Linked DNA regions of Tribolium castaneum. The protein of the gene in region 1 interacts with the protein of each later gene in a pairwise test. Links are inferred from orthologs where the notes say so. Each region holds a gene or a part of one and is shown on either strand. Other genes may lie near its edges.

Region 1 (3,824 bases):
AGATTTAGAGTGAAATCTAAGAGGGAATTAAGAGAATTTTGAATACAGTCTACAAAATACTTCTACAGAAGAATATAGAGAAGAATTTATAAAAGAATCTAACGATGAGTACAAAATAATGTAACGATCAGTTCAGATTACAAAAACAATGCTAAAATATAATCTACAAAAATTCCAAACGAAACTATCAAAGAATTTTACAAAGACGTAGTTGGCATCTTAAGAAAAATCTAGAGAAAAGTACACAAACAATGCTAAAAATTATTATGGAAGAATTCGAAGCGAAACTAGAGAATAATTTAAAAGAATTGAAGTGATAGAGTAGAATTTAATAGAGAATTTGGAGAATGTAAAGAAGTGTTTATCAAAGAATTTTTAAACATTCGTATAAAAAAGCGATCACACTACAAAATAATTTAAAGGACAGCCCAGATTACAAAAACAATATAATCTGTAAAAATTCCAAACGACACTATCGAAGAATTTTGCTAAAACGTAGAGTGAAATCTAAAAGAGAAGTCTTAAAACAGTAGCTCATTGACAATAAAAACAGATTCAGAATCCTTCAACAATTTTTCATATGATAATCTGGAGTATCAATTATTATTGTATGAATTGTTTAACTTCGATAAAAAAAAGAGTTCTGATACTTTACTGCACGTAATACCGTTATTTTCAAGAAGGAAACGACGAAACTTTGACTTGTCTCAAAAACTGTTATAAAGACAATTTCGCAGTCCTCAGAAATTTTTTTATAAGATAAACTTACATTTGAGTTGGTTTGATTGTTTTTGATTATTGAAACCTTGACTGATTGAGATCATAAGAAGTGCCGCTCGCAGACAAAATTTGACAACAGATTCAAAATCCTTAAATTATTTTGCTTATCAAAAGTTGGAGTATCAATTATTTAAACATTCGAATTCCTAAGTACACAATTATAAGCACTCTCCTCTACTCCAACAAAAATTTATCTTAAGGAACCAAATTCTGATCGATATCTTAATGAAAAAACAGACATTTTTGGAATCTTCGGATAACTTTCCGTAAGAAAAAATCACATTTGATTCTCCATTTCGTCAAAAAGAGTTATATTTTCAGTATCTTAGTTTTACAATGCCTTGTAACGTGAAAAATGGCCAGGTTTTGGAACGACTTACGTTTAAAATGTCAAAATCTAATTTTGAGTTTAATTATTTAGTGCTCTCTTTTTTTAAGGGGTAATTGGATTTGGACATTTTTGAAGCGATCCCTCACAAACTAATGCACAAACCTGCAGCCGGCCAATGTGATGTCCTATTTAAGTGTAGCTCACGAGTGTGCATTAGATTGGGTGTGATTGTGGTCCTGTGGCGTTTCTTCAGCCGGCGACGGTGGCGCATCTTTCCTCGGAGGCATGCGCTCATTGATGGCGTCTAAACCTTTGGCTTCCGCGAAGCTCGTTATCTTATGATTAGGAGAGAATCCTTGCAACGCTAAAAACACAAGCATTTTCCATACACTATCTCAAACGAATCGATAAAACGCACCGTTTTTGAGACTCGTCTTTCCGCCTGATAACGCGCCTAGAGGCAGCGCACCCGTAGGCGTGAGACCTTTAAGTTGCAACACTGATTCACTTTCCTCCCTGGAACAATCGAGTTAATCGACACGACCTAACTCGTCCGAAACTTTACCTTAGAACAGAGAATACTCGAGCCATTTTACCAATCGCCCGGATTTTGTTACGTATCACTTCTTTCCTCAAGTTTGCTGCTGTACCTAAAAACCGAACTGATTTAGCGGTTTGGTTACAACCGAATTGAACGAAAAGTGCTACACTTGCTAATCTAATAATGGATGTTGTTATGACAAAGAGATTTTTTCTGTCTTGAGACACTCTGTATTAGTGAGTGATGGGCGTTATGTACATGCACAGTGAGCATTCACAGCGACTGAAACTTACCAAACGATGAGTTGTTGATCGGAACCATCGATGAAGAAATCGACAGCAAATGGGCAGTGGCGCAAAGTGTAGCGTAGAGTTATAGAAAAAAACAAAACAAACGGTGCATGTAGAAAATATAGCGTCAAACATACAAGTAACAAAATTTTCAGCAAATATTTATTTATCAAATGGTTGTGGATACTTGTGTGCATCCACAACGCGAAAGATAACAACAGATTTGATAAAAAAATCTTTAGTCAAAAGCTAGAACTAAAAGATTAAAGCAAAAACACTAAGCGAGAAAAATCGTAAAAAACGATAAAGGAGATTAAAATAGAAAAAATATGACAGTACTGCACTAGAATCGTATCAATGAGACAAATTCTTTTCTTATTTTTTAAAGAGTATTAATAATGCCAAATATATAACGAGTTACATTTATAAATTGATCAAAAAATATGCATCATGCTTGCTACATCTAAATCGGCTACGTCTAACGTAAATCTGAAGGAAACATAAACTAGTCTACCAATGGGATGAAGAACTCGAAAACGAAATAAAAACAGTATGAAAACGTGGTCAGGGTGGTTAGTGTAAAAATCCAAAATAAGAAAAGTTAATTTGGTCGTAATCGTTCGAATTGAGGAAAAGAAAAATTGCAAAAACAAGCCGTTTGGGAACAATGCCTATTCACAATTGAAAAACCCAAACAAACTTAAAAACAATGCACAACCTCCGAGTCCCGTCGAAAGTGAGTCAATAAGAATTGTTCCACAAAAAAACGCGCTTAATTTTGTTCAAAATGATCGTTAATGCAGTGTTATTTTAACTCCTCTGTTTAAGCTGCTTTGTTCTGTGATAACTTACCAGGTTTTTTAATAACAATTTTTGCCTGTTTCGCTGTGTGGGCGCGATTCCAAGGCGAATATAGACAAATAGTGAAAAATAGAAGTGTCAGAATAGAAGAAAAAATATAAGCAATACGAGTGCATGGATTCACTTTGTGAAAATCATATCTTTTTGAGAGAGATTTTAAGATTGAGTGCCGGAGAATTATGCAGTGCTTTTAGAAGTAAATATCTGACAGATATCGCAAAATTTTCAATGGGACAAGATGCTACTTGGGGTCATAAACAACAAAACATCGAAAAATTGGGTATTTACATCAACATATTTGGCAATATTTTTGATTGTTTGAACAACCCTTGCAAGTCGATCAAACTCAGGGGTTTATAACTAATTCATTGGTGTGGTTTTCAGCTAAATGCACACCAACGAATCGATCATTAAAAAAATTAGCCGACCGTCAAAGTAATAGATTTAGCTTGAACCAAAATCAAAAACTAGAAACGAAAAAACAAAAACACGTAACTATTCAGGCAGACTAATTTTAATTACGTACTACAAGTTTAAAGCAAATTATTGTTGGGAATAAAAACTGAACCTTACCATCTGTAATTCCAAGTAGCATTGAAAAATAACAAAAGGTATTTTTTTGCATTATTTTTGGTTGAAGAAAAATAATAAGCGTGTTGTTATTATCACTAGCTACCATTTTGAGTGAACATCAATTACAACAAATATTTTCGCGAAAGTAACAGGTTTTTGACGCAAAGGACTGCTCCAAGCTCCAATGGCGTCTATTTTTCTTTTACTAATAATTTTGTTAGTTATTTAAGCTCTTTTGGAAAAACGCTAACATTTTCATTCTTATAATTTCTCCTTTTGATAAAAAACTATTTTCTTAAAGGTCAAAGCAACTAAAACGAAAAAAAAAAATCGATTTGTATTCTACTTTTATTACAAACTGGAAAAAACCCGTTTGTGAATATTTAAAACTTTCCCATCAAAACACAAGTGCAAAGTTTTGTCAATTGTTCATCGTAATAATGAGTGG
Region 2 (4,201 bases), on another chromosome or scaffold:
TCGCACATATAAACACCAGCGATAAAAATTCAAAGCGTGGAAAGAAACTTTCAGTCGCCGATAAGTTCTTGCAGAGTTAAGTGTTTTTCCTTCGCTAATAAAAAGCACAATGTCGGGCCCTACGGTGAGTTTAATTTTTATTTTTCAAGTTGGATTTAAAAATTCCGATTCTAGCTATTCTCATTTCCTATCAAAGGGGCTACTAAAAGTTTTGGAACGACCCTTCAAGTCACAGACGATCAAAACGTACTCAAAATTGGGCAGAGTTTCACTCCCCCAGCTACTACCCTCATCAGCGAAATAACCAACAGTACGGTTACTGCAGAAACTGCTACCACTCCTGAGATTTCTCAAAATATTACAACAACGATTACCACCGTGATAACCGAAGTGACCGACAGTACGACCGAAACAATCGGTATTTTTGAAAACAACATCACTTCAGCAGTGGCCGAAATAAAAAACAGTACACAAAATACAACTTCAACCCCACTTGACGTATTTTCTTCAACTACGGATGTTTCGAACCAAATATATTACGAAGGATACGACGTTGAGGGAAAAACTTTGTACGTTGTTTTGGGAGTTATAATCGTCAGTCTGCTCTTAATTATCGTCATTCTTATCGTCGTTTATAAGCGATATAAAGCCAGCCGTTCAGGATCGCTTGATTGTGCAACCGATTTGAGCCAAGTTACCATCTCAAACGGAAGAATGAAATCGTATTAATTATATTTGTGATAATCTGTTATATTTTACTATCATTATATTTTTGTTACTCGCTTAGGTAGGTTTATTTATATCCTCAAAATGTTATTGCCGAAATAAATTCTTGGTTTATAAATTATAATCTAGGTTTTTTATTGAACACGTCCAGTTTTTCATGTTTTATCAGTTAAGTAATGAAATTACTTTTGTGTACTGTGCAGCACAGACGTGACAAAAAATTTAAGTTAAACACTAAACAAAACATTTTTTAGCGATTTGTTTCAAACAAAAATTGTTGAATTGTTACTCACACGTTAACAATCATCACAATTAAATTTTATAACCATTTAAAACACCAATTAACATTTTATCTGTAAAAAGTGTGGTGATTTGTATTGTTGAGTCTGAATGGTACAAAACGCTGCCACTTTTTCGATTTTTTCTGGTTAAAAATTAAGAACACAAACATTAGTCAGGCGTTTTGGGCAAAATTAAATCTCATTAATTACGGTTTAAAGGGAAAATAAATAAAACCGTGAATACCAAATAACAAAATAGAAAGAACTTAACCTAACTTTCTTACGGTTCTAAAACTTACGTTTATTTGCCGGGCTTCCAAAAGTCGACTGGTTTGCATTTCCGAACGAAAATGCCATAACTGCATTAAATTTAACGTTAGTATTTATATAAAAATAGTAATTACAATTTTTTATGTATTCACAAATTGAACTTAACGAATTGACAGAACTGTCAAACTTCAAACCTAGGTTATACACCGGCAATTTCACAAAATTTCAGCGTTTTCTGTACAAAAAAATACGAAATCAAAAAGTCGCTCATGTGTTTATGTTAATTATCTGGAAATCTATCCATTTCAGGGTTTTACGTTTTTTTAAGCTCATTCCTTTGTATTTCAATTCGGGCTGGCGAACTTTCGGCTTTCATCCCCTTGTCAAGTGTCATTCATTCCTGACATTTGGCATTTGCAATTGTTGGGTTGTGTTTTTTGCACTTTGATATTGCAATGTTTTTGTGTTAAAATTTAGTAGCGTAAGAGTTAGCCTTGATTAGTTTAGCCGAAAAAGTGCGCATTGTTTTATGGGGTTTAAACCGCGGTAGATCCTGTGTCGGTGAATTTAATCCAATTTTTCAATGGCTGAAAGCAACGGCGAAATGGACGACGATATCATCATTAACGACCAAGACGGCCTTCCCAACGTGCACCCCAACCTGCTGGCGGAGGCCGACATCGACAGCCCCGAGCATGTGACCGACGACGAGTTCGAGGACCTGCCGACGTCCCTCATCGTCACCAACATCCACGACAGTGTCTTCACCTCGCCCGGTAATCCGCCCCCAGCCCTCACCCGATCTGACCGTAAAATTGCAGAGAAAAAGCGCGAAATGGAGAACCTGTTCCGGAACTTCGACCCGGACGTGACATTCCAGTGGCTGCGCAGTTTCCGAAGACTGAGAGTGAACTTCCAGACGCCCGTGGCAGCCGCCAGCGCCCGCATTCAGCTCCACCAATACAAAATCAACGACTCAGTGATTACGTGTTACTTTGCTCAACCCGTCACCCCCGTCAAAAACCCCAGCCTGCAGCCGCCAGCCCCCTTCAAGCAGTTCCTAATCTCGCCGCCGGCGTCGCCCCCCCTCGACTGGGAGCCCCGGCCGGAAGGTGAGCCCATTATCAATCATGACCTTCTTGCAGCTTTGGCCACCCTCACGCCGGGGGCGTCGCACGAGGTGCACCCCCCCTCCCCCGGCCAGCCCAGCATCGTGGTGCACACGGCCCTGGGGGCGGACGGCGTGGGGGCCAAAGGCAGGATGCCACAGACGTCGTGTCCGGAACGGAGTTAATGATTTGTACAGGTCTTCAAGGTTATTTTAAGTGTGAGCTTCAGAGCCTCTCAATATGTCAATTTCTCTCTATGTAGAATCTGTCACTCATTTATTATGGAATTACGTGATTCATTTGTTGGTTGTAACTGTATCATTAATTTAACTCAATGTGATAATAAAGGTGTTGCTAATAAAAGATAATTTCCTAAAGTACTCAGCGGGAATTTGAGACAGGTTGGCCCTGAGTTTAATGCCATCAGCTGGCAACTTCAAACAGGAATCTGTAATTATTTATTGAAGAAAACAGCAACCAATTTTATATTCAACCTAGATTCAAGCAATTGATTATGAAATTGGGGTGGAAAAAATTATCAGAAGTACTCAGTTTAGAAGAAATTTTCTTTTTGTAATTACAAAACTCGAGAACTTCCTTTGTATGTTTATTAATGACAACGAATTTAAATGTTTAGTTCATGCTAGTCTTTAGTCTGTGATTTTTTCTCTTTTCACCAGATTATTTATAAATAGTTTCGTATATTGTTTATTTTTTGCTTACAATCTTTACACGAGTTACGAAATTCGGTAACTTTAAAAATGATAAAACTAAAATTTTATTGGTTTATTTGGTTGTGACAAAAATTATCGATTTAAAGTTGCTGCAGTTTCGTCGAAAACAATATTGATCAACTTTATGAATAAAAAAGAGTGTAAACGTACCAAAAATACGGATACGTATTTTGTAAAATGGCTATGTATATTTTGTATAGTCGTAATGTATGTCCACTGACTTTCTCGAATTATTCTGCAATTATGAAGCTTGAAATTACATAATTACGTATGGGATTAAGTTTATTTTTAGATAATTTGTGCCTGTTTCCGACTATTTTTCAAGCTATATCCCTGAACAATAGTTCGAACAATGTCCGTATCCACCTCTTTATTTCAATGGTAATAAAATAAACAAAAAGACGTTAACTATGTATCTATGTGTAAATAAAGTTATTCGTTGATAAATCAGTTCTTTCTTTAATTTTTTTCATCGGAATTACAAATTGAATTTTCTCCCCACCCGATTACTCGTAAATCCAAAGGCGATTTTACTTTTATAAAAATATTTATTTTATGAATAAATAGACAATAAGTCCACACTCCTACTACACTAACAGTCGCTAAAGCCGCGCTTCACCTGGTGACCCCCAGCGGTTGCATTTGCTCGGAAGTTGGTGGCTTGGAAGTGACAGTTTCTTCCTCATCCGGAGTCTTCTTCTTGCAACATGACGTGAAGAACGTATCGCCTTTCCCGAATTCTTCGCCGTCTTGTATAGTTTGCGGCATGGGTTTGTTCAAAGTTTCCGGAAGGAATAAGGTCAAAAACCCGGAAATTAGCGCAATAACTGCGAAAATAATGGACGGTAGGGTTGGATCGAACGAATCCAGGAGTGTTATAAGGGGAGTTAGGGCTCCGGAAGTCCGGGCACACATTGCCCCGATTCCGAGGGCCGAGTTTCGGACAACAGTCGGGAAAAGTTCGGCCGAGTAATTGTAAATAATTGCGAAAGAACTGGCGATTAGGAATTTGCCAGTGACGACGAAAGCGGTCGATTCGGTACTTCCCATGGTTAGATTCGCGGCAGCGATGCAACAAATC

The links.
Region 2: the proteins of serine/threonine-protein phosphatase 2B catalytic subunit 2 (region 1) and sra interact in binary tests that used the Caenorhabditis elegans proteins (3 or more experiments, as listed by UniProt). The link is inferred for Tribolium castaneum from reciprocal best matches to the Caenorhabditis elegans genes tax-6 and rcan-1.

The regions. Positions count from the first base shown.
Region 1 is NC_087394.1:25,325,944-25,329,767, reverse strand, and holds part of serine/threonine-protein phosphatase 2B catalytic subunit 2, read right to left. Parts: intron 2,828-3,824; coding exon 2,795-2,827; intron 1,756-2,794; coding exon 1,677-1,755; intron 1,628-1,676; coding exon 1,530-1,627; intron 1,476-1,529; coding exon 1,312-1,475; 3' UTR 1,274-1,311; intron 1,260-1,273; exon of another isoform or gene 1,245-1,259; coding exon of another isoform or gene 1,219-1,244; intron 1-1,218. Other genes in the region: Pep (zinc finger protein on ecdysone puffs), read left to right, coding at 1,219-1,244. UniProt on the Caenorhabditis elegans protein: Calcium-dependent, calmodulin-stimulated protein phosphatase. Dephosphorylates arrd-17. Dephosphorylates daf-16 at 'Ser-319' which regulates daf-16 nuclear translocation. Dephosphorylates calcium permeable cation channel pkd-2 at 'Ser-534'.
Region 2 is NC_087397.1:2,068,261-2,072,461, forward strand, and holds sra (protein sarah), read left to right. Parts: upstream 1-1,676; 5' UTR 1,677-1,860; coding exon 1,861-2,053; intron 2,054-2,098; coding exon 2,099-2,571; 3' UTR 2,572-3,570; downstream 3,571-4,201. Other genes in the region: probable nucleoporin Nup54, read right to left, coding at 1,307-1,364; organic cation transporter protein, read right to left, coding at 3,736-4,201. UniProt on the Caenorhabditis elegans protein: Inhibits tax-6/calcineurin A phosphatase activity and thereby negatively regulates calcineurin-mediated functions.